Coturnix japonica: one gene and its partners. The protein of the gene in region 7 interacts with the protein of the main gene of each other region in a biochemical or structural test. Links are inferred from orthologs where the notes say so. Each region holds a gene or a part of one and is shown on either strand. Other genes may lie near its edges. The genes, in order: UBE2J1, MFN2, EIF4B, ubiquitin-conjugating enzyme E2 variant 1, PARK7, UBE2G1 and PRKN.

Region 1 (3,500 bases), about 29 Mb from region 7:
TTATTCTCAGCTTAGACCATGACTTTCCTCTGGAGCGCTCAGAGGTAAAGCATTAGCATAAAAGCTGACTACTCTCCTCTCAATTGACACTCAGGCTGCTTTTAGTGATTAGACCAAGGGGAAAAAAAGTGAAGTAATGGAATTTAAAATATTTTAATGTAAGAATGGTTTTTAAAAGTTAAGAATATCTTAACGAGTCCAAGAAATTTTTATTTGGATGCACAAGCATTAACAGCTTACCAACACTCCTCAGTTTCTCAACCTTTTCAGCTTCTGTTTATTGAACAGTTTCCAAAACTTCCTGTGTCCCTCTTTCACAACTTCACATTTCTACAGCTCTCCCATCCTTTTGCTCCCTCAAAAATCTGCCTCCCCTTCCACTACGAGCTCTATTCATTGCAGTTAAGAACACGGGTGTGTTTGCATGGGGTAGAACACAAGCAGCAGAAATTGCATCTCATATCCTTACTCAGAGCTAGGAAGGCAACCTTTCTGTTCTGCTTAATATTTGCAGTTCTGACAATATTTTTCAGTGCCGTTTCCATTTATTCTCCTAATATTATAATAAATAACTAAAATCCTGTCAGTAGCAGCACTGCCTTGTAGTTCAGTCACATTCTGTCAAACAAACCAATGTGAATAAATACATTAATGAACTCAAAACCACAGAAGAGGGTTTTTTCTGCTCAATCCTCAGTGAAGACCAGAGGTACAGCAATTCCAGAGTTTCCTCGAATTCAGGGAAGCACATAAGAGGAGTTTCAGCACACATACTAAGAATTAGTCCAAGCATCGAGAGAAGTATTAGTGAAGTATTACTGTAGCATTCTTTGTGAGATTTTTCAGTGTAAAGATGATTTCCAAATAATTTGTTACTTACTACTCCATGAAGGCTGCCATGTTTCAGGATGATGCCCTGAGATGCTTAAGCAAATTTTCTTCCCCACTTCAAACCTGCCATTAGCCTTTAAAGAAAGGAGGATATAATAAAACGTGAAGTTAATTTGTGCAAAGAAAACAAGTTATCAAAAATATCATAAATCCATATGCAAACAATACTTGATAACTGTATTACTACCAACCTTGCAAATACAGCATTCAGCTTTCTGAATCAAAGAAGTCTGCCAACTACCTTAGTTCATGCACAAAGAGACCCCTACCTGATACCTCATATGTCCCAGTGTGACATAATGGCTTCTCTGTTGCTCCCGTAATCCACACATGTGTGGAGACTCTGAAAGTCTATAGCTCTATGAAATTACACAGAAATACAGGCCTTCACCCATACCATAGATCTGTTTTTCACGCATTAACAGAGACCACGTAGATTATGTAAGTTCATGTAGTTCCAATGCTATAGGCAGGGACATCTTCCACTAGGCGAGGTTGCTCAAAGTCCCATCCAGCCTAGCCTTGCGCACAGCAGTGGTAGGCTGACAACTGGACAAGGTGATGTTAGTGGTCATTTCCAACCATAATTACTCTATTATTCTGTGATCCACAGAGACAACAGGAAGGTTAGACATCCATATAAGCAATCAGTATTAGTTTTGGGGAAGTCTCCCACTTGTAGATCCAAAACTTCATCTAACTACATTATACCAAAGTCACTTTCAAAGACTTCTGTCACTAAACTGGCAGCATTAATTGTACTATGACCCCTGTCTTATAAAAATAATGTTACCTTAGGTGCTAGGAATCTTTCATATACTTACCGTCAGCAAAATAATGCTTGGTGGTTTCATGGGATATTCAGGTGGAAGTACTATCCGTCCGTGATAAATTCCTCCATCAAAATCTGAATCTGGAGGACCTCTAACAGTAAAGTGCCATTCAAAAAGATTGTCCTAAAATGACCACAGCAAGGGAAAAAGAAATAAGTGTCAAGGAAGTTGACATCTAATTATCATTTCTTTAGCCTTTGTTCCAAGGAAAAAATGAATGGCAAGTTTTAAAATAAGGAAAAAAATAAATAAATCAGAAATGAAGATAACCAACAGTATGCTAAGATTTCACTGAAAAGGAAAGATGAAGTAGCTTCCTGGTAATTTTCTTACCAAATGACTTAGTTGGAAAATTCTAATGGACTTCACTCTAGCTGTGCCTATTCATTTCCTGTCAGATGGAATACATGGAGTCAAATACGGGAAAACTCAGTCTTTACCCCAGTGAATACTGGTTTATACAGAACTGAGAGGCTCACTCCAAGTAAGAACATTAATTACAGCCTTCTACGTCAATGTCTCTTCTGTGCCAGGGCAACAAAGGGATTTGATGCAAGTTCCTTAGAATTCCCTTCCTCATTTGTTTTTCCACAAAGACTCACCACTACCACACCCTACTGCAATATATAGATTTTGAACTTCAGAACATTTTCATTGGACAAGGAAACAGCTCTTCCTTAAGCATTATTTTTGAGGGCTCTGAGTTTGGCTTTGTGCTTCAGATCTCCTAATGCTCATGACTCCTTGGACAAAAACAAGACAACACCTAGTTTTAACACTGCAGCCCAGTGAAGCTTGCCTTTGGTGAACAAGATCTCCTAACTAATGCTGAACACAGGTATCACATGCGTGTGACTGCTCATCTAGCTACAACATTTCCTAAGGGAGGGAACTGTCAACATTTCCAGCACTTCTTCTCACTGTTCTCTTCCCTATGAGTCACCGTTCAAACTGCAAAATAAGGTTCTCATTTCAATTACAATAGCACGAACTAAACCTTACATTTCACCTCAGAAAGAAGAAAATGAGGTAGAGACCAAGGCTGGTCAGTAGCAAAACAGAAACATGCTAACAGCTACAAGCATGTTTAATATGCTACACTCTTCTGTAAGCAGTTAATTCCCTAAACTGAGCATAACATTAACTTGACTGTGATTATTCCAGAAAAATCAGAACATGTTTCTTTTTATGCTTCTAAGCACCAGAATTTCACTGTCCTTTCAATCCAAAACCTTCCCATGATGCCACATTCAGCATCTAGGATGAAAATAGTGGGTCTGATAACAGTAAAAAAGCTTAATTAAACATAATAGTCCCAGGGAAGAGAGAGGGGAATAAACATATTGTATCCATGTGACAGAATCACTTACATGGCATGTGAAAGCACTATTGTTGTGTACTTTCACTAACAATTTCAGTCTACAGTACTATGAAATATGGAATTCTGCTCTTGATTTCCAAAACCTCTGAAGAACTGAATTCACTTTAGAATAGTTTGCTGCTATTTAAATATGCATGTCTAAATATACATAGAGGACTTAGAGCCTCATTACATGCCCCTGCAGCAAGCACGTGGGGAAACAAACCTCCAAAGGTTGTGCGTGATAATGATCTGTAGGATCCTTCAGTTCTGCAGCCTCTTTCATCAAACGTTTGACAGCTGAAAGAAAGAGAGCATGAAACATGAAAATAAGGAAAATAATAACACCTACTGCACACAAACATGTGTAAACACTTCGGAAAGAGCTCCTTTCAGCTAACTAGTACTTTTAACAC
Region 2 (4,011 bases), on a different chromosome or scaffold from region 7:
TGGAAATCCAGCTCTTTGGAGTCAAGTCACAAGCTTTCTCTCCAAGTAGCTGGAATCTCTTTTTTATATCCACAGCATATACAGGACTGGACACTTAGAAAATCATTTCTGGATACTATACCAAACATTATCAAGGAGCTGGCTCCAAGAGTCGTAATGGTTACATGTCACACCAGATGAAACTCAGTAGTAACAGCCTGAAGATCATCTGAATCCTTACCTCTATGCAGTCTTTGGAAACACATCACAGAGTTCAAAGCAGCAGCAATAGCAATGTAGGTGCTTTGTGGTAGTCAATGAAGGCCCATTAATTATACATTATCTCTGGGATTAGTCTGAAGACATAGAAAAAAGAAATAGCCTCCCTATCTTCTGTTACTGCAGTTTAGGGAGGGCTTCAGTGCTGAATCAGCTCAGCTCTATCCTTGTTAAGATCTACAAGCTCTAATGATGGGTTAACAACCCAGAGGCCCCACTGATCTTTGGCCTCATTCTCCTTCTTAGCGATCATTTGGGTAGTTCCCTTTGCATCCAGCTTGTTTGAGCCAACGCTGTAGAAGAACTATTTTCTGGTACTTAGAGGAAATCATTATTTGGTATTTCTAATATTTGAGATTGCAAACCAAAGCATCCCCCTGGGGATGAGACTCATAGAAATGAGTGGGTGAGTGCTCAGAGGTTGTGGCAAACCAATAAGGGATAAAAAACTGCCTAGAATTGAGCTGTGGGTAGAGGGGGAGCAGAGAAAAACCGTTGTATTGCTGCCTGTGAGAGACCTGCTCTGCTTTTAGACACTATTATGTGTATGAAGGCTGGTTTGTTTCACAGGCAGTACATTCACATTGGGATTGGGGTGGACCCACAGGGCTGCTCTCTGAGGGCTCTTTAGGGTCTCCTTCAGTGCTGTGCATCCACCAGGGGAGAAAAAACAGTTGAAAACGGTAAAAATTCGTGCTGTAACCAAATGAAGAGACTTTCCAGGCCCACGGTTGAGAAAACATTGACATGGTGTATGTATTTATTTAGCTTCCCCACACACACACTTATTTTATTGTGTTTTTCCTCTGCCCGATACTATGATCGGAATCCGCGCGGAGCCGCTTCACACACAGATTCCAACCGTGGCAAGTGGGAGGTGGGGAAATTCGCATTAAACTATTCCCAAACGCTCACTGTGGTTGTGTTTCTTCCACGACGGGGCGGCTCCTCAGAACTACAGCTCCCGAAGCACCCCGGGACAGAGCCCGCCTACCCAGGGGTGGTGCCGGGGGTTAAGATGGCTGCGCTGCGGGAGCGGCCGTGAAGGTGAGCGTTGGTTGCGGGCTGTGATGGCGGCTCCTGTGAGGGGTTCGGGGCTCTGAGGTGGCGGCCGCGCTGTGGGGAGAACGCGCTTCCCGCCCTTTTTATTGGCGGGAATCCGCCGTTCTCTGAGGGCCGAGTTCGAGGCCTGCGCCTCCCTCTGTCGTAGGGAGGCGGCTGGATTCGGAGTGAGGGAAGGAGCTGTGGTGGAACGGCGCTGTTCGTGTTCTGGAGGGGCTCGAGTTGACCATGTCCGGCTTGTGAGAGCGAAACACATCCTAAAAGTAAGCGGGGAAGGGAGGGAGTGATCCCTTGGAAGGGAGGAGGGAAGGTGGGTTTTTATTCTTTCTAGATATTTGAGTGACTTCTAAGTGTGGGAATTAGAAACGTTCCTTGTGGAATGATCTTTAGAACGTGTATTATCTAGTTCTCAGTAGGCGTCTTCTGTCTCCCAGGGGTCTGTATTGAGACATCACCTTTATCAATATACATTTTATATATGTGTGTACACCGTACCCTTATACTATCAGGGCATACACATTGGGATCAAGATCAGCAATTTGCTGATGGCACCACACTGAGCACTGCAGTTGACAGGGCAGAAGGAAGCGATGCCCTCCAGAGGGATCCTGGTAGGTGAAAATCTGAACATGAACCAGCACTGTGTGATGGCAGCACTGAAGGCCCACACACAGAACAGCATCCTGGGCTGCTGCAGCAGATGGGTGCCAGCAGGATGAAGGGATTTTCCTCCTGCTCTCTGCTTTTGTGAGGCCCCAGCTGCAGTTCTGCACCCAGGCCTGTGGCCTCCAGCAATGGAAGGATGTGGGGCTGTTGGGGGGGATCCAGAGGACAGCTGTGAGGATGCTCAGAGAGCTGCAGCACCTCTTCTATGGAGAAAGATTGGAGGAGTTGGGCTTGTTCAGCCTGGAGAGGGCTCCAAGGAGACCTCATTGCTGCATTCCAGTACTTTAAGGGAGCTTATAAACAGGAGAGAAGTGAACTTTTTACACAGGTAGTCAGTGATAGAACAAGGGGAAGTGGTTTTAAACTAAGAGATGGGAAACTTAAGTCTCTCTTGCTGCTGCCCGGAGCTGTGGGAGCCCCATCCCTGAAGGTGCCCACAGCCATGGATGGGCCCTGAGCAGCCTGAGCTGGTGGGGAACACCCTGTGTGTGGCAGGGTTGGAACTGAGTAATCTCTGAGTTCCTTTCCAGCCCAACCGTTGTATGATTAAATATCAGACACTTGGTTGTGTGGCTGTTAGGCCTCAGTGAGTTCCCTTTCCTTACTGATTTTTTTCCCTATAGCGCAATGTCCCTGTTGTTTACTCGTTCCAAGTCAATAGTTGCAGTGAAGAAGGATAAAAGACACATGGCTGAGGTCAATGCTTCTCCACTCAAACATTTTGTCACTGCAAAGAAGAAAATCAATGGCATCTTTGAGCAACTGGCCGCATACATCAATGAGAGCTCCTCATTCCTGGAGGGTAAGCTGAGCTGAATGGTGCTTTGCCTGCACGTGGTTCCCAAGCAACACACCAAAACCCTCATTTATTTATAAATACGTATCTCTTTATATGTCAGTATTTGTATGAGGGGACTGAAAATTATTGTAGTGAATTTGAGTGAAGTTTAGGCCTCATATTTCAAAGCTGATTTACGTTGGTAATGTATGAAACCAAGCTAGTTAGTGGGCTCCGTTGTTTCTGGGGAAGGTTATTTCTATGTGTTTTGTTTTTAAAATGAACTATTTGAGGCTCTTTTGCTTGTGTGCATATAATCCTTTCAGTATTCTTGCCTAGACACGTCATTGCCAGTGACGTGGAACACATACAGTAATTGGCTTTACAGCTTACGATGCAGAGAGAAGGTTTTTAAGGGTGCTGGGATGTTTGAAGCATTGGATGCGTTCTGTTTAAGGCGGTCATGAGGATAAAGAATGGTTATTAGATAAAGAGACTGGTAGATAATGCTGCTGGGTGTAACTGCATGCTTCAGCATGACCTGTCTGAACTGTGAGATACAGATAAGCATTTGGTTGTGTATGTTAAATTATGGGGAGGTGTTTTACCCAGTACTGAGGCAGATCGCTTCAGGGATTCAGGGACATGATGTGTTTTGATTTTTAGAAACACACAGGAACGTGGAGCTTGATCCTGTCACCACAGAAGAGCAGGTATTGGAAGTCAAAGGCTACTTGTCAAAAGTCAGTGGCATTAGTGAAGTGCTGGCGAGGCGACACATGAAAGTGGCTTTTTTTGGAAGGTAAGTCGAGTGCTTACATTGCCTACACTCCCTACTGGGTAAAGAAACTTGCATCTTTAGGATCATAGCCAAAAATGTATTTATAGAAGCATTAGTGCTCCAGCTTCTGGATGCAACGTGTGGCACATGTCCCTAGTTCTAGTATTTGTGTGAATGGGACTCAAATACTGTAGAACATAATCTATTTAGAAGAAAAAAAATGGGTTCTTTTTTAAGTTGTCTGTAGCAAATGAATTGTTAGTGCTTCTGGAGCTGTTTTGGTTTAGATGACTTGTTCTGAGCTCAGAAGCCCAGCTATGCTGTTCTTTAATTTTGCTTCAGGACGAGCAATGGGAAAAGCACTGTGATAAATGCCATGCTATGGGACAAAGTCCTTCCTTCAGGAATTGGGCACACCACCAATTGTTTCCTGCGTGTAGAAGGGACTGATGGTCATGAAGCTTTC
Region 3 (4,071 bases), on a different chromosome or scaffold from region 7:
GGATTCCTCAGTGACATCGTAGGGCAGGTTGCCCAGGAAGGCCGTGTAGGGCGGGCACTTGGGCAGGCGGCTGCGGTCAATGTTGGGCTCGCGTGCGGCGCGGGGGGCGGTGGGCAGCAGCGAGCGGTCGATCAGCGGTGCCCGGTACACATCATCATCATTGCTGTGCCACGCAGTGGAGACTGTGGGAGAGAATGGGTGGGCTGAAGGAGGTGGGCATGGCGTGGAGGTGGTGGGTTAAAAGAGGTGGCCATGGGATGCAGGGGGTGGCTACTGCGTGGAGGTGGTGGTCATGTGTTGCAGGAGGTGGCCAAGAGCTGCAGGGGAGGGTGGCCAAAACATGGGGGTGGTGGCCATGGGCTAAAGAGGGTGGGCACAATGTGGAGGTGGTGGCCATGGGCTGCTTGGCCAGAGCAAAGAGGTGGTGGCCGTGGGCTAGAGGTGGTGGCCACATCATCTAGATGGTGGTCATGTGTTATACACAGTGGCCACCCCACATAGATGGTGGCCAACTCATGCAGACTGTGACCCCTCAACATGGATGGTAGCCCCCCAAAAACAGACGGTATCTGCCCTAGGCTCGCTCTCACCCCTACCGTCGCCGTCCAGGTCATCGGTCTCATCAGCCCAGCTGACCGGCTTGGGGATGTAGGTGGGTGCACCGCTGCCGCCATCCTCAGCCAGGAAGTCGGTCAGGGTCAGGGTCTTCCCCTTCTTGTTCTTCTTCTTGGCTGCTGCGGGGTGGGGGGGGCGGCGAGATCGGCACCATGGCTCTGTCTGCACCCCATGACCCCCCTCCCATTGGTGGCAATGGGATGTGGGGAGGAGGGTGGGGGTCAAGGGGAGCATGCGGAGCTCCCTGCATTCACAAAGCTGCCTTGAATCAGTGAGGAGCTCTGCCAAAGTGGCACAGGTGGCACCAAATGTGGCGTAGAGCTCATCAGAATTGGCACAGGGGTCACCAGTACTGGCATAGAGGTCAGTAAAACTGGCACAGGGGGCACCAAAATCACACAGAGCTCCTTAGAACTGGCACAGGGGCCACTGAAATCAGCAGAGGAGTGGCCAAAAGTGGCACAGGGGTTGTTAAACCTGGCACAGAGCTCCTCAATATCAGCACAGAGGCAACCAAAATTGGCATAGAGATTGCCAAAAGCACATGAAGATACCCAAAAACATGTTGAGCACCCCAAAATCTCACTTAACTCCCCAAAAACACAAAGGGATCACCAAAACTGATGCAAAGCTCCCCAAAACCAACACGGGGGTCAGCAAAAGCACATGGAGACGTCCAAAAACATGAAGAGCTCCCCAAAATCTCACAGAGCTTCTCCAAACCAGAACATTGATGTGACTGCACAGGGCCAGCATGACAGCACTGCCTCCAAGCACTGCACGGAGCCCAGCAGCACACTCATGCAATGATGGTGCACTGTATGAGTCCTAGCAGTGCACGGGGTGCTGCTGGAGCACTGCATGGGGCCAGCATTGCATAGATATCACTGTGCATTGCACACAACCAGCACCACAGCACTGCCACCGTGCATTGCACAGAGCCAAGCCCTGCACAAACATGATGATGGTGCACTGCATGATGCCCAGATGTCAGTGCATATCACACGTCCAGCACTGCACCATGCACTGCACAGGGCCCAGCACTGCATGGGGTGGTGCTGGAGCACTGCATGAGGCCAGCATTGCACAGATGTCACTGCATATCACACATATCCAGCACTGCAGCGCTGCACCATGCATTGCACAGGGCCCAGCACTGCACAAACATGATGATATCGAGCTGCACAGCTCCCAGCAGTGCATGGGGTGGTGCTGGAGCACTGCATGGGGCCAGCATTGTCCAGATGTCACTGCATATCACACACATTCAGCACTGCAGCTGCACTGCACAGGGCCCAGCACTGCACGGGGTGGTGCTGGAGCACTGCATGATGCCAGCAGTGCCCAGATGTCACTGCATATCACACACAAACATGATGATATTGAGCTGCACAGCTTCCATCACTGCACGGGGTGGTGCTGGAGCACTGCATGGGGCCAGCATTGCACAGATGTCACTGCATATCACACACATTCAGCACTGCACCATGCACTGCACAGGGCCCAGCACTGCGCAAACATGACGATATTGAGCTGTACGGGTCCCAGCACTGCACAGGGTGGTGCTGGAGCACTGCACGATGCCAGCAGTGCCCAGATGTCACTGCATATCACACATAGCCAGCACCACAGCACTGCACAGGTCCCAGCACTGCACAAACGTGATGATATGGAGCTGGACAGGGCCCAGCCCCAGCATGGGGCCGGCATTGCCCAGCTCTCCCCGCCCATTACACACATATAACACACCGCATCGCTCCGTGTTCCCGTTCCACGCTCCCAACCCCACACGTGGACCCCCCCCTCCGCCCAGCTCCGCGCATGCGCAGTCCCACGCCCTGCCCTGCCCCCCCCCCCAATGGGCGCTGTGTGTCTATGTGGGGTGTGGGGGGGGCAAGGCCCGAAGGCCGCTCCCGGCCGTGAAGGCCCCGCAGAGCCGCATTGCCGCCCCCGTAACGCAGCCAACTGCCCGGCAGACCCAGGCTCGAGGCAGAGGTGGGGTCGCGGAGTGGGGAAGGGTCGCTCTGGGGTGGGTGTGGGGTGGGCGAGGGGCGATGTGGGGCCGGAGCCACCGCGCGGCGCTCACCTGAGGCCGCCATCTTGGCAAGAGGCAGAGAGAGGGCGAAAGGCCCGGATGGAGCCGTCACGTGATCTCCGGAGCGACGCCCACTTCCGGCAGGGCGGGGGGGAGACGCACACGGGAGCGCGCATTGCCGCGGGAGCGCGCACGTGGGGGGGGCACCGGGATGAGCGCTCCCCCTCCATCCATCCCTCCTTCTTCCCTCTCTCCTTCCATCCCTCCATTTCTTCCTCCTTCTCTCCCTCCATCTATCCCTCCCTCTCCCTCCTCCTCCTCATTCCCTCCCTTCTCTCTCTATTCCTCCTTCCCTCCATTCTTCCCTCCTTTCCTCTCTCCTTCCCTCCCTCCATCCTTCTCACCCCCCTCCATCCCTTCCCCCTTCTTTCCCTCTCCATCTCTCCCTTCTCCCTCCTTCCATCTCTCCCTCCCTCTCACCATTCCTCCCTTCTTCCCTCTCTCCCCACCTCACCCTCCCTCCTTTTCTCCTTTCCTCCATCCCTCCATCCACCTCTCCCTCCCTCTTGCCATCCCTCCATTCTTTCCTCTCAATCTCCCTCCCTCCATCCCTCCATCCCTCCCTCCATCCATCCCTCCCTCCATCCATCCATCCATCCATCCATCCATCCATCCATCCATCCATCCATCCATCCATCCCTCCCTCCATCCCTCCCTCCATCCATCCCCCTCTCCATCCATCCCCACTTCTGTTCCACCATCTCTCTCTCCCTCCCTCTCCCACCCCTGTGCCTCAGTTTCCCATTCACACACACTGAGCCCCATCTCTTTCACTTTGCTCCTTTATTTGTAAGGCAGGAGGGGGCACCACGCCGTCCCCATTCAGTAGCTGCGCACTTTGACTTCTTTGCTCTCGGACACCACTTTGCCATCCACCGTCCTCTGGGTGCTGCGCTGCGTGGTCACTGTCCCCTCCGACCCCAGAGCATCCTGCAGGCTGTGGAGCAGCGGGTGTCCCCATGGTCACACACCCCTTTATGTCACCCACCTTTATGTTACTCACCCTATGTCCACCCTGTTACCCACCCGTGTCACCCACCCCTGTGTCACTCAGCCCCACGCTACCCTACCCCGCTGTAACCCCAAGGAACTTGGAGGGGACATCAGGGTTGGGATGCTTGGCCACTTGGGTGCCACCACTATCCCTGTCCCCACTGGGTGTCACTGCTGTCCCTATAGGATCCCTATGGGGTGCCACTGCTGTCCCTTTGCTGTCCCTGTAAGCCATGGTCCTGCATATCCCAACACTGGGGCTCATCTCATTGAATGCCAGCACTGCCCCTTTGCTGTCCCCAAACATCCCAAAGGATGGGACCTGCACATCCCAACACTTGGTCTCACCCCACCGAATGCCACCACTG
Region 4 (3,500 bases), on a different chromosome or scaffold from region 7:
GGTGGAGGAATCTGGTGCTGGGTGTACTGCAGGGAAAATGAACTGCTGTGCTGAGCTGGGTCCAGGCTGCTGCTCTGGGCTGTCCCTGCTACCTTACATGGAAGCATACTGCTCCTCCCCAGGCTCAGTGCAGATGGTTTTGCAACCAGTCATTCCTCTTGCTTATACAAGCTATTCAATAACAGGGGTGCTGTCAGAACTTTGACTTGGTCTGGCTCTAGGCCTGTGCATGGTGAAGACTTTCTGTTCACTAGTCTTAATGCGATGTGGTTATATGCAAGGGCCATAAAAAGCTGCAGACTTTGGTGTGTTAATTGCTCTGTGCATAGAGCTCACATGGTTCTGTTAGGAGACTGGGACAGTCCAGGCTGAGTCAGGTAACTGTCCCCCAGTCTCTGGAACAATGTTGTTGCTGTTTGGAATCAGGATGTAGAAGGGTTGCTCCAAAAGTAATGCCTCCTGTTTTATGATGTTGGCCTGTGATGTCAGAGGCGGATGTTGCTGGTGTGGCAGTAGGGGCTGAACCTTCCCACCAATGTCCTGTTCCATTTTGTTGCTGTGTGACAGCTGGCAGCAGAGGGGCAGCCTGACAGAGTGGTGTCTGACATAGAAGTATGGAACAAAGGGGCAGAACAGAAAAAATGGCACCCATTGACATTCATTGATGATTGCTGAACCTATATGGAGACCAGGCAGTGGATATTGGTGCAGTCATGCTGGTGCCTTTCTGCATTGTCAATAGCAGCGTGAAGGACAAGCCGTGTTCCAGGTGACCTTGCACAGCTGTCATACAACAAGATGAAGAGTGCCTTGATCAGCTCATCTGCATGAATCAGCTAATGGTGGTGACTGTGTTGAAAAACAATGTTTTATAGCTGAGAATTTGCTCTATCAAATAATGTTATTGTGCTCTGTGTATCTGTGGTAGATTCTGTGGAAATAAATAGGAGACATTACTTTCGGAGCAACCTGTGTACTTTAAATGTACTAGATTTTGGAGCATTCACTTTTCAGGGAGCTCATGCATTGGGTTGACGATTGACCAAAGAAAGTTTTTAAGTGAAGCTTTAGGACCAGCCAACTTCAGATGGCTCTCTACACTAAAGCTATAGCTTTGATTTCAAGATCATGCCTGTGATTAGTGAATTGATAAAAACAGAACTGATTTATAAAGATTGGTTGAAGAGCAGAAAACTAAACTATATGGTGATAAGAAAAACTTTTTCAGGGAGTGAACAGGAAGCAATGCCAACTTCATTCTTTATGTGAAAATTCAATGTGTGCTTAAAAAAATAGTAGAATTTAATATGCAGAAGAGCAGCATTTAGTGCTCAAATATTGTAAAATGAACCCAAAACAGGGGGAGGCAGCACAGAATGGAAGCAGCTGACCTTCTGTTTAGTGGTTTGTGTTCCTGAAATAACCACTGTTTTAACCAAGTGTTTGTTGAACTGCCTGATATAATTGTTCCCCCTTCCTGCTTTTTTTTCCCCCAGACAATTTATGAAAACAGAATATACAGTCTGAAAGTAGAGTGTGGACCTAAATATCCAGAAGCACCTCCTACAGTTAGATTTGTAACTAAAATTAATATGAATGGAATAAATAATTCCAATGGAATGGTAAGTTTTTGTTTTTTACTATTTTACATGGTTTTCACGTGCAGCTTCTAATGAATGCTTTTTATTTGCAGTTTGCTTTAGTACTTTTTGTTTGCTCGTACCATTTCTTGGAGTAGAAGAGGGGAGTAGGAGGGAACTGTACAAACTGAGAGAATTCTGGAATCAAAATGTACTTTTCTTGTACATTTGCAGCTTGCAAATAGTTCTGCATGGATTAATCATGCTTTCAGGAAAGCCACCTGCTTGCTTTTGCCTTCTTTGGTTTCTTCCACTGAGACTTCTTAAAAGATCTTTGGCTGGAGGGTGTGTGTGGGAGTTATTGACAGTTCTGATTGTGACAGGAATGGTGTTTTTGTCTGTTCTAGGTGGACCCCAGAGCCATATCAGTCCTAGCAAAATGGCAGAATTCTTTTAGCATCAAAGTTGTTCTGCAAGAGCTTCGGCGTCTAATGATGTCTAAAGAAAATATGAAACTTCCTCAGCCACCTGAAGGACAATGTTACAGCAATTAATTAAAAAAATAATCATGCCCCCTTATTCAATTTAAGCTGTCTTCATTTTCCACAGTAGTAAATTTTCTAGATGCATCTTGTAGACCTCAAAATACTGGAAAGGAAGTTCCCATTCAGAGGAGATTTTTCTTGAGATACTGTAAATGATACTAATTTTTTTTTCATTTGAAATATAAGTTGTGCTATAACAAATAATCCTGTTGTGTAACCACTGTCCACATAGCTGAACTTCTGGTATCAGGAAGAGTTGATTTAAATTTATTACTGTCAAGACCAGTGTGGCACATCTAACTTAACTGTGAAGCATACATCCCACAATCACCTTGCTGTGTGTCTGGCCAGGATTGTTTTGTTGTTTATTTTCTTTTTCTGTCTTTTGCAATAGAGTTGAAGCTCAGGGCTGTTTATTAGAATAGGCACAAAGGTTTTCTTTCCAGTACGACACTGGGCTTTATGGACTACTAATGGGGATGTGTGCTAACCTCCGTCATCCCTCCCTTTGTGCTATCTCTAGTAAAGGCTGAATGTGACTGTAGTCTTTTTTGGTTTTATATTTTTTTTTCATGCCATGGTAATCTGGGGCGAGCTTTCCTCCTTTCCTCTGGCCAAGGCATAGATTGTATTCCTCTTCCTGATCTCCCTCACCAGTAATGTGAGCATTGGGTGAGAGATTCGGGGTTCTTTTAATCTCTTCCCTCTTCCCCTCTTTTTAGCAGGGATGCTGCTTTCTTTTTGCCCCTCTCTATGTCTCTTCTCACCCTTGGATGGCAGGGGTAAGCACTGGGGCAATAACTTGACCTATTCCCTCCTGCTTATCGTTTTGGTTTTGCAACAAATATAGTCTTCACCAGCCTGGGAATCAAGAGTATCCATTCTGATCGCAAACGTGGATGTTCCCTGTCCCTCTGGCTCTGCTGCCACACCACCCAGCTGGCTGCGGCTGATGTTAGATAGGCTTTTGACATGATGAAAAGAGCAGTAATATACCAGGATGACCAAAATCTGCTGCCAGGCTGCACGTAGGTTCAAAACACACACTCCAATCTGAGTAGCTGTATTTCTGGTGCTTTGGAATGACCCGGGAATGTTGACTAACTGAGTGCAGCACCCAGGTTGGCGCTTCTGAGGGTCTGACAGACAAATTGAGTCAGCGTAGATTCCATCAGGATTCTCTGAGTCTTGGAAGAGGAAACGCCCTGGTGAAGATCCGGGGAAGTGGTGCAGAGTGAGGACCAGTATTGGCTTTGCATCCTGGCAAATTGCTGCCTTTTCTGTTTTACTGTTGGACCACTAACTGCAGTGTGGATGCAAGCTTACATGCAGCCAACCTAGTGTGTCTGGAATTTTATGAAAAGATCAAGTGTTT
Region 5 (3,360 bases), on a different chromosome or scaffold from region 7:
ATGTCAGCACCTTAAAGCTGCAAAGGAAAAAGAGTGCAAATATATTGCACAGAGGAAAAACATCAGAGGAAAAAAGAAAGATGCCAAACAATCCCACCCTGAATTCAGATACACAAAGAGCCACCAGGACAAAACACTTTGAAGCCATCAATGCACAAAACATTACGCTTACAACCATCAGGTCTGAACCCCCTAAAAACAAAAAAGAAATGATCGATGTAGTTTCTTAATCTCACAACAAGCTGAAGAGAAAAACCAGCACTACTGAGCGTCCTTCCAGAAAACAAAAGGCACAACCAAACCTACACAGCAAACAGCCTTAATGCCTTAAGACCAGGGAAATTCCCAGTTCCAGAGAAGGGCACACCAGTCTGTGCCACACTGAGTCGGATTATCACACTGCACAGAGAAGTGTGAGCCAGACACTAGTGATAAGCAAGTTACTCACTGCAGCCCCTGCTCGGGACTGGGGAAAAAACGCACAAAGAAGCAACAAACAATCAAGGTTGTTTCATTTTTATTTAATCAGCAAACATTTGTCCACGCGATTTTGAAATGCCAGGATCTAAGATTATTTAGTTGCTAATGATAGTGAAGGTCTTTGCTAACAGAGTTTTCTTCCAGGAATAAACACTGGTGAGATGTCCTAATTTAGGTGAGCACAGCTGTTAATTTCATCCACAACTACATTGTGCATCTCAGTTATTCTACAAAGGACAAGACTCACCACCTGAAATTGTTCTACTCCATGTCCCACAACAGCATTTCAGTCCTTCAATATTAAGGGTGCCTTCACTTGTTCAGCCACCTCCTTCCCCATCAGTACTTCAACAATGGCCAACCCAAACTCAAAGCTCGTACCAGGGCCACGGCTGGTGAGGATGTTCCCATCTTTCTCCACACGGCTCTCGGAGTAGGAGTAGTGAGCTTAGGGGTGACACAACAATAAGAGGGTCAGTCTCCATTCCAGTGACACAGAGCACAGACCTGCCTGCTCACAGGCTACGGCAACTGAGGGGCAGCAAGCTCCACCAACAGCATCGCATTCTTGAGTACACACCTCAATGACTCACATGAGCCAAGCTCACTCTGGGCTCTGTATCCCTGTCCCTGCAGAACCAAGCAACTCATCGCTGCCTACAGTCCTCAGAGAGGAAAAGGCCCTACAGGGAGTTCTGCCAGCTTGTTCACATGGCATATAAGTGCACCTATCTGCAAGCTGTTGAATTTTGATTATGCATATGAAAGCACTAAGGAAACTCTGAGATACAGAATGAGATGCAAACGTTATTTACTTTTCTTTAAATGAAGAGTTAGGACAAAATACTTTCCGAGTTTAGAAATAAAGCTATAACATTAATTACATACCTCCATTCATCATTTTATCTTTGGCCAAAGGATGTGTTGTGACTTTGCTTCCAAATCCTATCCCATGTGCCAGGAGGGCAGTAGGGCCTGTAAGGACACACACACATCAGTGAGAAACTTATCTGCTACAAACATAAGAACACGCATCCAGGGGCTCAAATCTCACAGCCTTGGTAAGGATTATCTGATAAAATTTCATTTGAAAAGGCCTTTATGTGCTGGAATTGTGCACCAAGCAGCATTTTGGACAGCTATGGGTTAACAGCTAACCTTCCAGTTTTTACATTCTCTTTCTCTTTCCATCACTTCCTCCCTTGCCTGAATTGAGGAAGAAACTTGTGTAAAGTTGTCTTAGATCACCCAAGAAAAAAATCCTTATGGGAATTCCAGAAGAAACTGAATGCAGGATTTGGCTGATTCAAGTGTCATTTCTGCGTATCTGATTCATTTCAGAAAATGAAGCAACAAGGAAATAACTTCCCTCGTGTTCAGCTGGAAAAGTTCTGAAAAGCACTACACATAAAATAAATGAATTGTTCTGCAACATACGGGTAAAGAAGGAAAAGACCACCAGAGCCACACTTAGGACTGCTCACAAATTCATGTGTATTGCTCAACTGAAGAACGAAAACAAAATAAAAAGCAGCCACACACCAGACAAAACACAAACACATGCTGCAAACACACACCGTTAGAGCATCTCCTACACAGTTATCATCACTCTCCTCATTCTCCCCTACATAGACCACTCTCTCTGTTCAGCTGGGAATATCGGCATTTATTCATCTTGTTTTTTCTTTAAATACAAACCACATAAAGAACTGAACTAGATATCTAGCTGTGCAGAACATGTAAGCAGACAACCCTCACTGTAGAGTAACTCCATATTTTAGTACCACTCCTTTGAAGGTGAGCCTGTAACACTATATTTTCAGCCACCCTGCTGAATCTAAAGGGCAGAAGAGGAGTCATGAGACAAATTTATAGTAACGATGTTCAGCCAGCACAGCGTCCTCACAGAGAAAATAACCAGATACTAAAAAAAAAACAAACCAAAAATCCCTAAACTAAAAACCAAATGTAATGCTGTAACACAACAAAAAGGTCAGCAATGACAGCAGAGTAACAAAGTCCCAGACTGCAGCAAGTGAGGATTTACTCAGAGGTGGCAACTGTACTCACAGAAACCAAGAAGACCTCAGGTACACAGGGAACTCCAGAGAGATACCCCCACCTCCACTGGGAACCCTTAAATGAGGGCTGGATCCTGACTCCACCCAATCCAATCACCCAGTACATTGCCTGCACCTGAGCTCCCCTGGGTTGGCTCTGCCTTCCCACCATGTGCTCCATCATTGCTTCAGGCCACTACAGCATTTCCACTACACCCAGCAAATTAGTTGTCACTTTTTAAGACACTAACCCAAATGACTAGAAAATCCAAATGCTGATGGGTTTGTAGAGCAAATTTCTGTAACTAAGTTACAAGAATATAAATTTCTAAGGCAGGATACCCGCCTGCCTGTCCTTTCAAACACCCAAGTATTTATCAAAGGAAAACTTGTTACTAACCCACCTGCACATATTGCAGCAATCAGGCCTTTCCTGCTTTCCTGATCCTTCAAAATGTCTTTAACAGCAGCAGACTGTAAAAGATAAAAAGAAGCCGTTGCTTTGAGTTGATTATTTGGGTTGAAGCACAGTTGAGGCATTTTCTACTGCAAATTCATGAACAAGATTTACAAAGAAAAACAGCTTGACAGCTTGATCCCAGGACTTTACCTCTGACAAGTTCTGAGCTCCAAGGTTACCTCCAGGCAGGACAACGACATCGTAAGGTCCCTAAACAGACAGATAAAGCTTTGATGAACAGAGGGTGACCTATCTGTCACATTGTTCTAGGGACAGCACAGCTAAGTGAATTGAGAAGCAAAGGGATCCTTCACTGAGAAGCCTTTTCTTTCACCAAATCTGATCTTGGCCTGCTGTAAA
Region 6 (4,122 bases), on a different chromosome or scaffold from region 7:
TGGGAATTGGAGTTAACCTACAGCAGGAAGGACTTCCACAAAGACCTCCTTTGGCTACAAACACCATTTATAAGATGAATTTCAGTAATGCTGCGGGATGTCTTTTTTCATCCTAGTTTAATCATTGAAGAGGACACGGATTTAATCAGAATTGCCGGAATGCCTGAGAATGGCTTTGTGATTAATTGTTGGAGTGCAGTAATGAAACGCTCGAACTATAACCGGAATTACAACAAGGGGAGAAGATTCCAGCATTGCCAGTAAAGCATCTCGTCTATCCTGGGTTTCTCACTCTTGTTGCAAAGCCAAGTTTGATGTTCACATAGGAATTCCTCGTGGTCGAAAACAATGAAGAGTGTTACTTTCGAGCAGGATAAATCCTTTTTAGCAGCTCCTTACAACAGAGCGGGGAGTTTCCCAGTTTCCGATGATGATAACTGCTCACCAATCGGCCAGAAACTGCATTTCTTTAACAATTTAGTCGTAAAATCGGTAAAATTAGAGACTCCAGCGGGGGGTACCGCGTTCACCTCATGGTACCAGGCGGGCACTCACTGAGGTGGCGTTCAGACACCGTTGCCACCTTATAGCAGCCCGTGCTGCCCCCACAGAGCCCCACAGAGCCCACAGAGCCACCCACAGCCCCACAGAACCCCACAGACCCCATAGAGCCCCACAGAGCCCCATAGACCCCATAGACCCCATAGAGCCCCATAGAGCCCCATAGACCCCATAGAGCCCCATAGACCCCATAGAGCCCCATAGACCCCATAGAGCCCCATAGAACCCCATAGAGCCACCCACAGCCCCACAGACCCCATAGACCCCACAGACCCCACAGACCCCATAGACCCCACAGACCCCATAGACCCCACAGACCCCATAGACCCCACAGAACCCCACAGAGCCACCCACAGACCCCACAGAGCCCCTCAGAGCCCCACAGCGCAGCAATCCCGCACAGCGAGCAACTCTCCATCAGCCAGCACTGCTTCCCCCAGCCAAATAATAACCACGGCTCCCTCTGGGCGTGGGAGATGGCTTCGAACGAGGACAAAACGCTGTTTTTTGTTACGTTACGGCTCTTTATGTCACAGCAGCCTTAGAATCAACTAAGGTTGGCAAAGAACGCTTAAACACATCCATCACTGAGGAAAAGCCGTGAGTGAACTGAAGGCTGCTGCCCTCAGGAGACCCGCTGCCCTCAGCGAAACGGATGGCGGCCTGGCTTCTCCTCGCCCCGCCTCCACACACACACAGCTCAGCCGCCACTCCTAAGATGGCGGCGCGGAAGGGCCTGTAGCTGCTCGAAGTGCGTCTGCGCAGAGCGGAGTGCAGGAGGAGGAGGAGGAGCAGGGCGGCACGGAGCCACGGCCGCGCGCCCCTGGCAGGGACCCTGCGTGCTGTGGCGGCGGTGCGGGCGGGCTGAGGGGGCCACTCGCAGCCGCCTCGGGCTCTGGGAGCACCGGGAGCCGCGCCGTCCTCGGGACTCATTCCGAGGATAGAAAGGGAGAGAATGACGGAGCTCCAGTCCGCCTTGTTACTGCGGAGACAGCTAGCAGGTACCGGCGGATGGAGAGAGGAGACGGGAGAACGGAGTCTGAGGGCAGGACGGGTCGTGAGGGGGAGGAGGGGGACGGCGGGGAGCGGGGCGGCTGTGAGGGGGAAGGGGAGGCGGCGGCCTAACCAGCACCAACCCCCCCTGAGCTCAGTGCCCGGCCCGGGGCTGAGGGAACTAGGCCGGGGGGGGAGGGGGAGCGTGGCAGCGCGGCCGGGGGGAGGGGAGGGGAGTAGGGGAGGGGAGCGGGGCCGGCTCGGTACGGAGCGGGCTGTGGGGGCTGCGCTTCCACCGCCGTTCCCGTCCCGGCAGCGGCTCCGCTCGGGCCTCCGCGGCCTCTTGTCCCCTCGCTGGGCCTCGCCGTGGGGGTGCATTGCGGGGAGGGCCGCGCGGTGTTGTCAGAAGCGGAGGTGGGAGTTGTATGGCGGCTCTATATATAATATATAACACATATATATTTTTCCCTTCGATTTTTATTATCCTCCCCCTCCTCGCGTCCAGAAGCGGCGCCTCAGGGCTGAGCTCGCCGCGGGGACCTGAGCTGCCCCCGTCCCGCCCCCCGCTCCGTGCCCGTGAGGAAGGAAGGGCCGCTGCCCCCTTTGTTGTGAGCGCAGTGGGGCGAGGAGCGGCCCGTGGTGCTGCGGGCCGGCAGCCCATAGCGGCGGCTCCCCCTCCCTTTGTGTCCCGGGCGGCCCCGCGCTGCTCCGTGTGCCCGGGCTGCGGCCGCGGTGGGGTCCTGGCTCGGCCCGGCGGCGCCGCGCATGCGCTGGTTGTCGGGGCGCACAATGCAGCTCCATGTGTCGCTCGCTGCCAGATTTAAAGAGACACGGAGCCGGCGGAGCAGGGAGGGGGTTGAACGCTCCCTCCCCCATCGCACGTGTGTGCTCCGAACCGCCCCTGAGCAACGCCGGCACCTCGGGCAGCTCCGCTGGCTGCTGTGCGCCTTACGTAAAAATGAGTTGCTCCATAGCCAGATAAGGAAATGCTCGCTAGGTGTACCTAAAGCCGGGCAAATAGAGCTCTGTAGCGCTTCGGAGGGACGGGTCACAGCCGTGCGGGGGGTCCCTGCGGGAGGGATGCGGCCCCCGGTGGCTTTAGGGCTCTGCTCACTGCGGAGTTGCATAACAGAGTGCGGGAGCTGCATGGCGCTGAGTGATGGGAGCGAGGTGGAGCTGAGGCCCGGCCAAGCAGCGGGGCACGGTGGGCTAAAACTTATTGAAGGTGATTTTTGTAAATAAAAAGATTTCCTCCACGCGGTGTGATCGTGTCAGTGGGCCCAGCAGGCGTTACGGCATTCCTGAACATCTGCTGGGGCATCTACTTGTTCACATAAGCAGTTATCAATATATATAGGCTTAAACCAGGAGCTCCAAAAATTCTTGCTTCTGCAACAGTTCTCTCTTCTGTAAGTGATCACACTGGGAGGAGATGGTGTTGAGGCTGCTCTTTAGCTTCATACAAACAAGCGTTTGGTGACCTGAGACGGTCTGGAATTTGTGTGTTAATTAAATAATTGTACACCGTGAAAGGAAGTTCCCAACTTGAGCTGAGTGTCAAAGGGACCATCAAGAAACTTTCAGACCGCCTGTGTTGTGTAGTTCTTTATGACCTGCCCTCTGAATGAAGGTTGGTTGGATGTGCTGCTGGACTTGCAGGCTCTTAGACTGACTGAAGCCCTCAGTCTTTCTGCTCTCTCTCTTCTGAGAGCTTCACGTGCCGTGTAAAAGCAGTGAACCCTTCCAGTTGCCTTATTACTGATACTGAGTCAACTGGGCACTGCGGCCATTTGCATGTAACGTGCAGCCCCTTTGTGAGGCCTTTGGGTTTTAAGTACCATCAGTACTTTTTTTTTCCTACATCTACTTAGAGATATTAAAATATATAAATAATATATACATAAATTATACAGAAATGTGCATATACTTTTATGTAATTTTTGTGCTTCTGTGCATAGAAAGTGGTTGAGTGTATGCACTGAAGTGTGTGGGGAGTCTGAAATTCTTCAGGAGCTCAGCCTGGAGTAGTTACTGACCTGGAAAGGGAAATATGTTGTTTCTTCCATATTTGATAATCTCTGCTGTATCTGAATGGAGCTGAAGCAAGGCCCTGAACTGCTTTTTCTAATGGCAGGCTGCTTGAAGGTGCAGTGCAGAGACTGAGCCTTGTGAGGTCTCACCTTCCCCCCCGCTGCTGTTTTCTCCCAGCTCTCATCTGCTCCAGTGTATCCCTCATTGTACCCACGCTGTTTTACCTGCCTCAAAACTAAAACCAATGCTGAGGGTTTTTTTCTTACTGAATGGGACTGATATTTCAGTCCTAATGCTGCATGCAGCTTTGGGTTGTGTATTGAGTGTGGTGAGTGATTGGGTTGTACTTAATGGTTGGGTTTTGGAGGGCAGCAAAGTGGAGATGAGTTACGTCATCTGAACTCATTTAAACTGGTCGAGGTCACTCCTTTATCAGTGTTGTTCAAACTGTGAGAGATCTGAAGTCAGGGCTGTTATTTGGTGTGGAGGGAGGATAACTGGACCTGAGGCCCTTATGGTTGCAGAAGAGTTGAGGAA
Region 7 (4,071 bases):
TTTTTAGTAAATTTAGAGGATGTGCAAAACTCAAAATGTTGTGTAAAAAAATATATTGGTCTATGGCCTTAAAGATTATCCAGAAATAGCAAAATCTATATTAAAGGTGTAAAATTGCAAATATTTACAACGTTCATTGCTCAGCAAAAAATCGCCATCATTCTCAACTATATTCGCATGCTTTTAAAGCATTTGACTCCTTTACAGCAGTCAGGTACACTTTGTGTTTGGAAAATCATTGATCCTATTGTCAGTTTAAAAATAGATTTCCTCAAACTGTATGAGCACTTTTGAATTTATGCATCTGTCACTCATAAAAAATTCAAAGGAGTATGTCTTCAGTTAGAACATTGCAGTGGGAATGGGAAATCTTCAAGAGGGATGGTTATTGCAATCAATACCTAAACAGTTCAAATGTCAGGTAGCCAGTGACTAATTGATACAAATGATTTTATTGCTTTATATTACTTGCTAATTCCTTTGCTTTGTGCTAGTGGAACTGTTTATTGGCTGAAGCAGCCCACTGGGATTGAGTGTACTGTTTATGCAGCCTTAGTGACTGGTATGGATGTAGTCAAGCTTTTCTTGTTGCATAGTTCTTGTAGTCACTCCCCTGGTCAAGGGCTCAATGAGCACATTCAGCACCCTTGTGAAAAACAACACTGCCAGCTGAATGGCTGTAAGCTCATGAGTTTATTTGCCAGGCTTCTCAGGATATATAAACCACTCTCTGCAGCTCTAAAAATGATATGGCGAGTGCGGTAGTGATTTCCTGCACTGAAGGAACATGCCAGCAGGAGTTATGTACTGCAGATGTTTTAGTGAACTCTGAAAAGACCACAGTGTAATACAACACTCCCAAACATTTCTGCTAGCGTGTGATTTTTCTCTCCATCATTACCTTCCACAGAATTGTATCTGTGGGGAACCAATTTATGTGACCGTGCTCTGCAGTATAACAGTGAATTGTTTTGCTTAGTATTATTTAATGTAACTTAGCTCTAAAACTCAGTTTTCTGCATGCATTTGTTACGTGCAGCAGGAAAGAGCACAAGGGGCATAGAAAGTGTGTGTGTCCTGTGTCTGTTAAGGTCAGTTGTGGATCAGAGATTTGTTCCAGGACTTAGTGGTTGCCTGGACTGCTGGCTGGATGGGTCCCTTTTGGTTCTGATGTTTCTCTTCAATTTATAGCTCTGCTGGGGGAAGCACGTGGCTTTTGTTTATTAGTCACTAGCTATTCTGTGAAGGGAAATCCCATACAGTTCCTCTTTTCCAAATTATACACTACAGTATTAGTAGCTTTTCTCTTAAAACAGTCAGTGCTCTCTGAAATTGACAAATAAGCCACTTGTAGTCACTCTAGTACAGACCGGCAGTGAGAAATGTTTGCTTTAAAAGGTGTTTTCTCTTTTTCAGTGTTTGTCAGGTTCAACTCAAGCCATGGCTTCCCGGTGGAGCTTGGGTTGGAAGCCAGCATCCTCCAGCTGAAGGAGGCGGTTGCGCAGCGACAGGGAGTTCCAGCTGACCAGCTGCGGGTGATCTTTGCAGGGAGAGAGCTCAGCAACGACTTAACGCTGCAGGTAAGCCTCTGTGGTAGCTTTGCTCCTGGACTGCTGCCAGCTCTGCTGCCTCTGCCTCTAATGCTGCCAATCTGACATTCATTCCTGAGATCTAATAGAATAAATAGTGCCTGGGGATTCCTTGAACTTTACTCCACACTGCTTCATTAATTCTGACCTTCTTAATTATGCATTAAAACAGCAAGCAGGAAGGATAGGGAGAGCATATGAGTGAGAGAGTATGGGAGAGAGCTGTGCCTAGTGAATAAATGTTTACTGACTACAGAAGCAAGCCATGCACAATTTCTGTATCTGTTCAATTTTTATTTTACTTATTCCATTTGAATCTTAATGAAGAAGGATGTGAATAAATTGCTTCAGATCAGGCTGCACGGTCAGCACATTCTGTAGAATTTGTAACCCAATTGTGACCCCTGGAGGATAGCTACAGGGCTGCTGCTGCTGTTCTGAATGCTGCCGTGTGCCATACACAGGTGAACGCACTGCTGGAATGATGGTTCCAGTTCTAAAAAGCTCATGGAAGTGTGATCCAAACCACCAAGCTCATAAATGTGTGAAACTGAGAGCAGCAAGGAGTGTGGAAGAATGGCTATAAGTGGGTATCTGAATTTCAGTTTTTCAAGGTTAGGTAGCTGTTCAGTTCAATAAGTGCAGAATTGTTCATCTGTGATGAGCTGTAGTAAGCATGGAAATATAGGTTCAATTTTCTCTTCCTTGTACTCTTTACTACTCTTCCCAGTGCTGCCACAGTTGCTTTATCATTGTTTTTATTTATACTATGAGTAGTGAATGTGAATTTCAGAGTATGTTCAGGAAGGGGTTAGCATAAGATCATACATCTAAGACATGTAGGAACATAGGAAAACCTAAAGGCCTTTGAATAGAGTGCTCTTGAATTTACTGCCTTAATGAAACTGCTATCCTTCTGCAGTTGTATCAAAATAACAGACACAGTCTCTACTACTGCAGGTGATTATATAAAAGGTCCCTCACAGGCAGAAGTATTTCATGTTAATTAGCAGTCGTGTTTCAGAAGTATTTCTGTAATTAAAATGGATGCTAAGTCTGGGTACAGAAGGGTTACTACTGTATTAATGACCCGTCCTATTTCTCTGTGGTTAAGATACTCAATATTTTGCAAAGGATTTTAGTGTGTTTTAGGACAGAACACAATACAGAAATATGAACTGTTGTCAGTCCACAATGCATAACCTATAGATAGCATTGATGCATATATTTGTGATGTAAACTGCAGTGTATTTCACTTATATTTTTTCACATGTGAGAAGAAAAATAGTGGAAATTACCAGATACCAGTTGCTAGTTCTGGTTGTCTGTGTTATCCTGTCCTAAGCTTATGAACTCCTAGTGTTTCCTGAGCAGCTGTAGGTATTGGTGTTACTGCTATTTTATGTCACAGACATTGAATCATGTTTTTTGCCTTTAAAAAAAATTGCTGTCAGTTACAACATACAATGCTTTGCTGTGCAAATTAAAATGTGCTTTTTGGATATAGAAGCCTGCTGACTATTTGCTTAATTTATTTAATAGGAATGACAGAATTATCAAGTGTAGCCAAGTCTTACTAATAAACCGGATCTATGTTCATTGCTGTGACTTTCATTTTCTAAAGCATATAGGATGTAAAATGGCTATTTCAGGTGGCATAATCCATATTTGTGTATTTAAGTGCCTTACATAATCCAATGATTAATACCAACATGTCAACAAGATTTTTATTCCTGGTATTTAATTATTTTAATTGTTTTTATCTATTCATTGTAGAAATTGTCAACACAAGAAGAATGGTAGATGGTTTGATATATCTGACTTTTCCTACAGAAGGCAATTTGGGGCTTTTTGCATAAGCAGCTGAGTGCTAGTGAAATAGTAACTGCTGGCATTAATGTTGCATCTGTAATATCAGAGTTAACATCACATAGAAGAAAATTAATAACAGTTGTTTTCTGGACCTAATGATTTGCATGCAGATAAAATAAAACAAAACACAACATACATTTTTACATGGCTGAATCTTAGTTCTTGGTAGCTTAGAATTTCTAATTAGACCATTTTTTCCTTTTGTTTTTATAAATTACTTTTGTGCTTACTTACCCAGGATACTGTGGGAGAATTTAGAGATTTGGAATGAGCTGGGATAATCTTAGGAGTGTGGGGCAGGGATATAAGAAATATATCCCTGGATAACAAAGTTTACTGGTTTCACAGCTTGCAGAACTGCTAGATTTGGCTTGACAGCTACTTTGGGATCTCGTGCAGGTGATACAGAACACAACTGAAAATGTGAAAACTACATTTGTTTTCCTGTTCAGAGAGAATGGAAAAATCTTTCATGGTAGCTGAATACTGTAGAAGAGAAATGCATGCTGACTGGACAAATATTAGAGAGAAATAAGGATAAGGAAGAAAATGCCAACTTGAGATCTTTACATAAGTGAAAAATTTGAGAACAACAACAGTACAAAATATC

Evidence for each region.
Region 1: the proteins of PRKN (region 7) and UBE2J1 form a complex in vitro, tested with the Homo sapiens proteins (4 studies listed by BioGRID). The link is inferred for Coturnix japonica from reciprocal best matches to the Homo sapiens genes PRKN and UBE2J1.
Region 2: of the proteins of PRKN (region 7) and MFN2, one has a biochemical effect on the other in vitro, tested with the Homo sapiens proteins (2 studies listed by BioGRID). The link is inferred for Coturnix japonica from reciprocal best matches to the Homo sapiens genes PRKN and MFN2.
Region 3: of the proteins of PRKN (region 7) and EIF4B, one has a biochemical effect on the other in vitro, tested with the Homo sapiens proteins (2 studies listed by BioGRID). The link is inferred for Coturnix japonica from reciprocal best matches to the Homo sapiens genes PRKN and EIF4B.
Region 4: the proteins of PRKN (region 7) and ubiquitin-conjugating enzyme E2 variant 1 form a complex in vitro, tested with the Homo sapiens proteins (4 studies listed by BioGRID). The link is inferred for Coturnix japonica from reciprocal best matches to the Homo sapiens genes PRKN and UBE2V1.
Region 5: the proteins of PRKN (region 7) and PARK7 form a complex in vitro, tested with the Homo sapiens proteins (2 studies listed by BioGRID, with this or other methods). The link is inferred for Coturnix japonica from reciprocal best matches to the Homo sapiens genes PRKN and PARK7.
Region 6: the proteins of PRKN (region 7) and UBE2G1 form a complex in vitro, tested with the Homo sapiens proteins (5 studies listed by BioGRID). The link is inferred for Coturnix japonica from reciprocal best matches to the Homo sapiens genes PRKN and UBE2G1.

What each region holds. Positions count from the first base shown.
Region 1 is NC_029518.1:68,954,870-68,958,369, reverse strand, and holds part of UBE2J1 (ubiquitin-conjugating enzyme E2 J1), read right to left. Parts: intron 3,385-3,500; coding exon 3,311-3,384; intron 1,848-3,310; coding exon 1,716-1,847; intron 966-1,715; coding exon 881-965; intron 1-880. UniProt on the Homo sapiens protein: Catalyzes the covalent attachment of ubiquitin to other proteins. Functions in the selective degradation of misfolded membrane proteins from the endoplasmic reticulum (ERAD) and is essential for cells to recover from ER stress.
Region 2 is NC_029536.1:4,790,006-4,794,016, reverse strand, and holds the start of MFN2 (mitofusin-2), read left to right. Parts: upstream 1-1,211; 5' UTR 1,212-1,305; intron 1,306-1,468; 5' UTR 1,469-1,583; intron 1,584-1,829; 5' UTR 1,830-1,931; intron 1,932-2,609; 5' UTR 2,610-2,613; coding exon 2,614-2,788; intron 2,789-3,430; coding exon 3,431-3,566; intron 3,567-3,887; coding exon 3,888-4,011. UniProt on the Homo sapiens protein: Mitochondrial outer membrane GTPase that mediates mitochondrial clustering and fusion. Mitochondria are highly dynamic organelles, and their morphology is determined by the equilibrium between mitochondrial fusion and fission events.
Region 3 is NC_029544.1:1,104,165-1,108,235, forward strand, and holds the start of EIF4B (eukaryotic translation initiation factor 4B), read right to left. Parts: upstream 2,801-4,071; 5' UTR 2,715-2,800; coding exon 2,702-2,714; intron 735-2,701; coding exon 591-734; intron 183-590; coding exon 1-182. Other genes in the region: KRT18 (keratin, type I cytoskeletal 18), read right to left, coding at 3,533-3,647. UniProt on the Homo sapiens protein: Required for the binding of mRNA to ribosomes. Functions in close association with EIF4-F and EIF4-A. Binds near the 5'-terminal cap of mRNA in presence of EIF-4F and ATP.
Region 4 is NC_029535.1:12,304,356-12,307,855, forward strand, and holds part of ubiquitin-conjugating enzyme E2 variant 1, read left to right. Parts: intron 1-1,496; coding exon 1,497-1,622; intron 1,623-1,987; coding exon 1,988-2,134; 3' UTR 2,135-3,500. UniProt on the Homo sapiens protein: Has no ubiquitin ligase activity on its own. The UBE2V1-UBE2N heterodimer catalyzes the synthesis of non-canonical poly-ubiquitin chains that are linked through Lys-63.
Region 5 is NC_029536.1:196,701-200,060, forward strand, and holds the end of PARK7 (protein/nucleic acid deglycase DJ-1), read right to left. Parts: intron 3,211-3,360; coding exon 3,151-3,210; intron 3,015-3,150; coding exon 2,945-3,014; intron 1,456-2,944; coding exon 1,369-1,455; intron 928-1,368; coding exon 767-927; 3' UTR 501-766; downstream 1-500. UniProt on the Homo sapiens protein: Multifunctional protein with controversial molecular function which plays an important role in cell protection against oxidative stress and cell death acting as oxidative stress sensor and redox-sensitive chaperone and protease.
Region 6 is NC_029534.1:2,222,411-2,226,532, forward strand, and holds the start of UBE2G1 (ubiquitin-conjugating enzyme E2 G1), read left to right. Parts: upstream 1-1,322; 5' UTR 1,323-1,516; coding exon 1,517-1,562; intron 1,563-4,122. UniProt on the Homo sapiens protein: Accepts ubiquitin from the E1 complex and catalyzes its covalent attachment to other proteins. In vitro catalyzes 'Lys-48'-, as well as 'Lys-63'-linked polyubiquitination. May be involved in degradation of muscle-specific proteins.
Region 7 is NC_029518.1:40,121,991-40,126,061, forward strand, and holds the start of PRKN (E3 ubiquitin-protein ligase parkin), read left to right. Parts: upstream 1-1,271; 5' UTR 1,272-1,382; coding exon 1,383-1,580; intron 1,581-4,071. UniProt on the Homo sapiens protein: Functions within a multiprotein E3 ubiquitin ligase complex, catalyzing the covalent attachment of ubiquitin moieties onto substrate proteins. Substrates include SYT11 and VDAC1.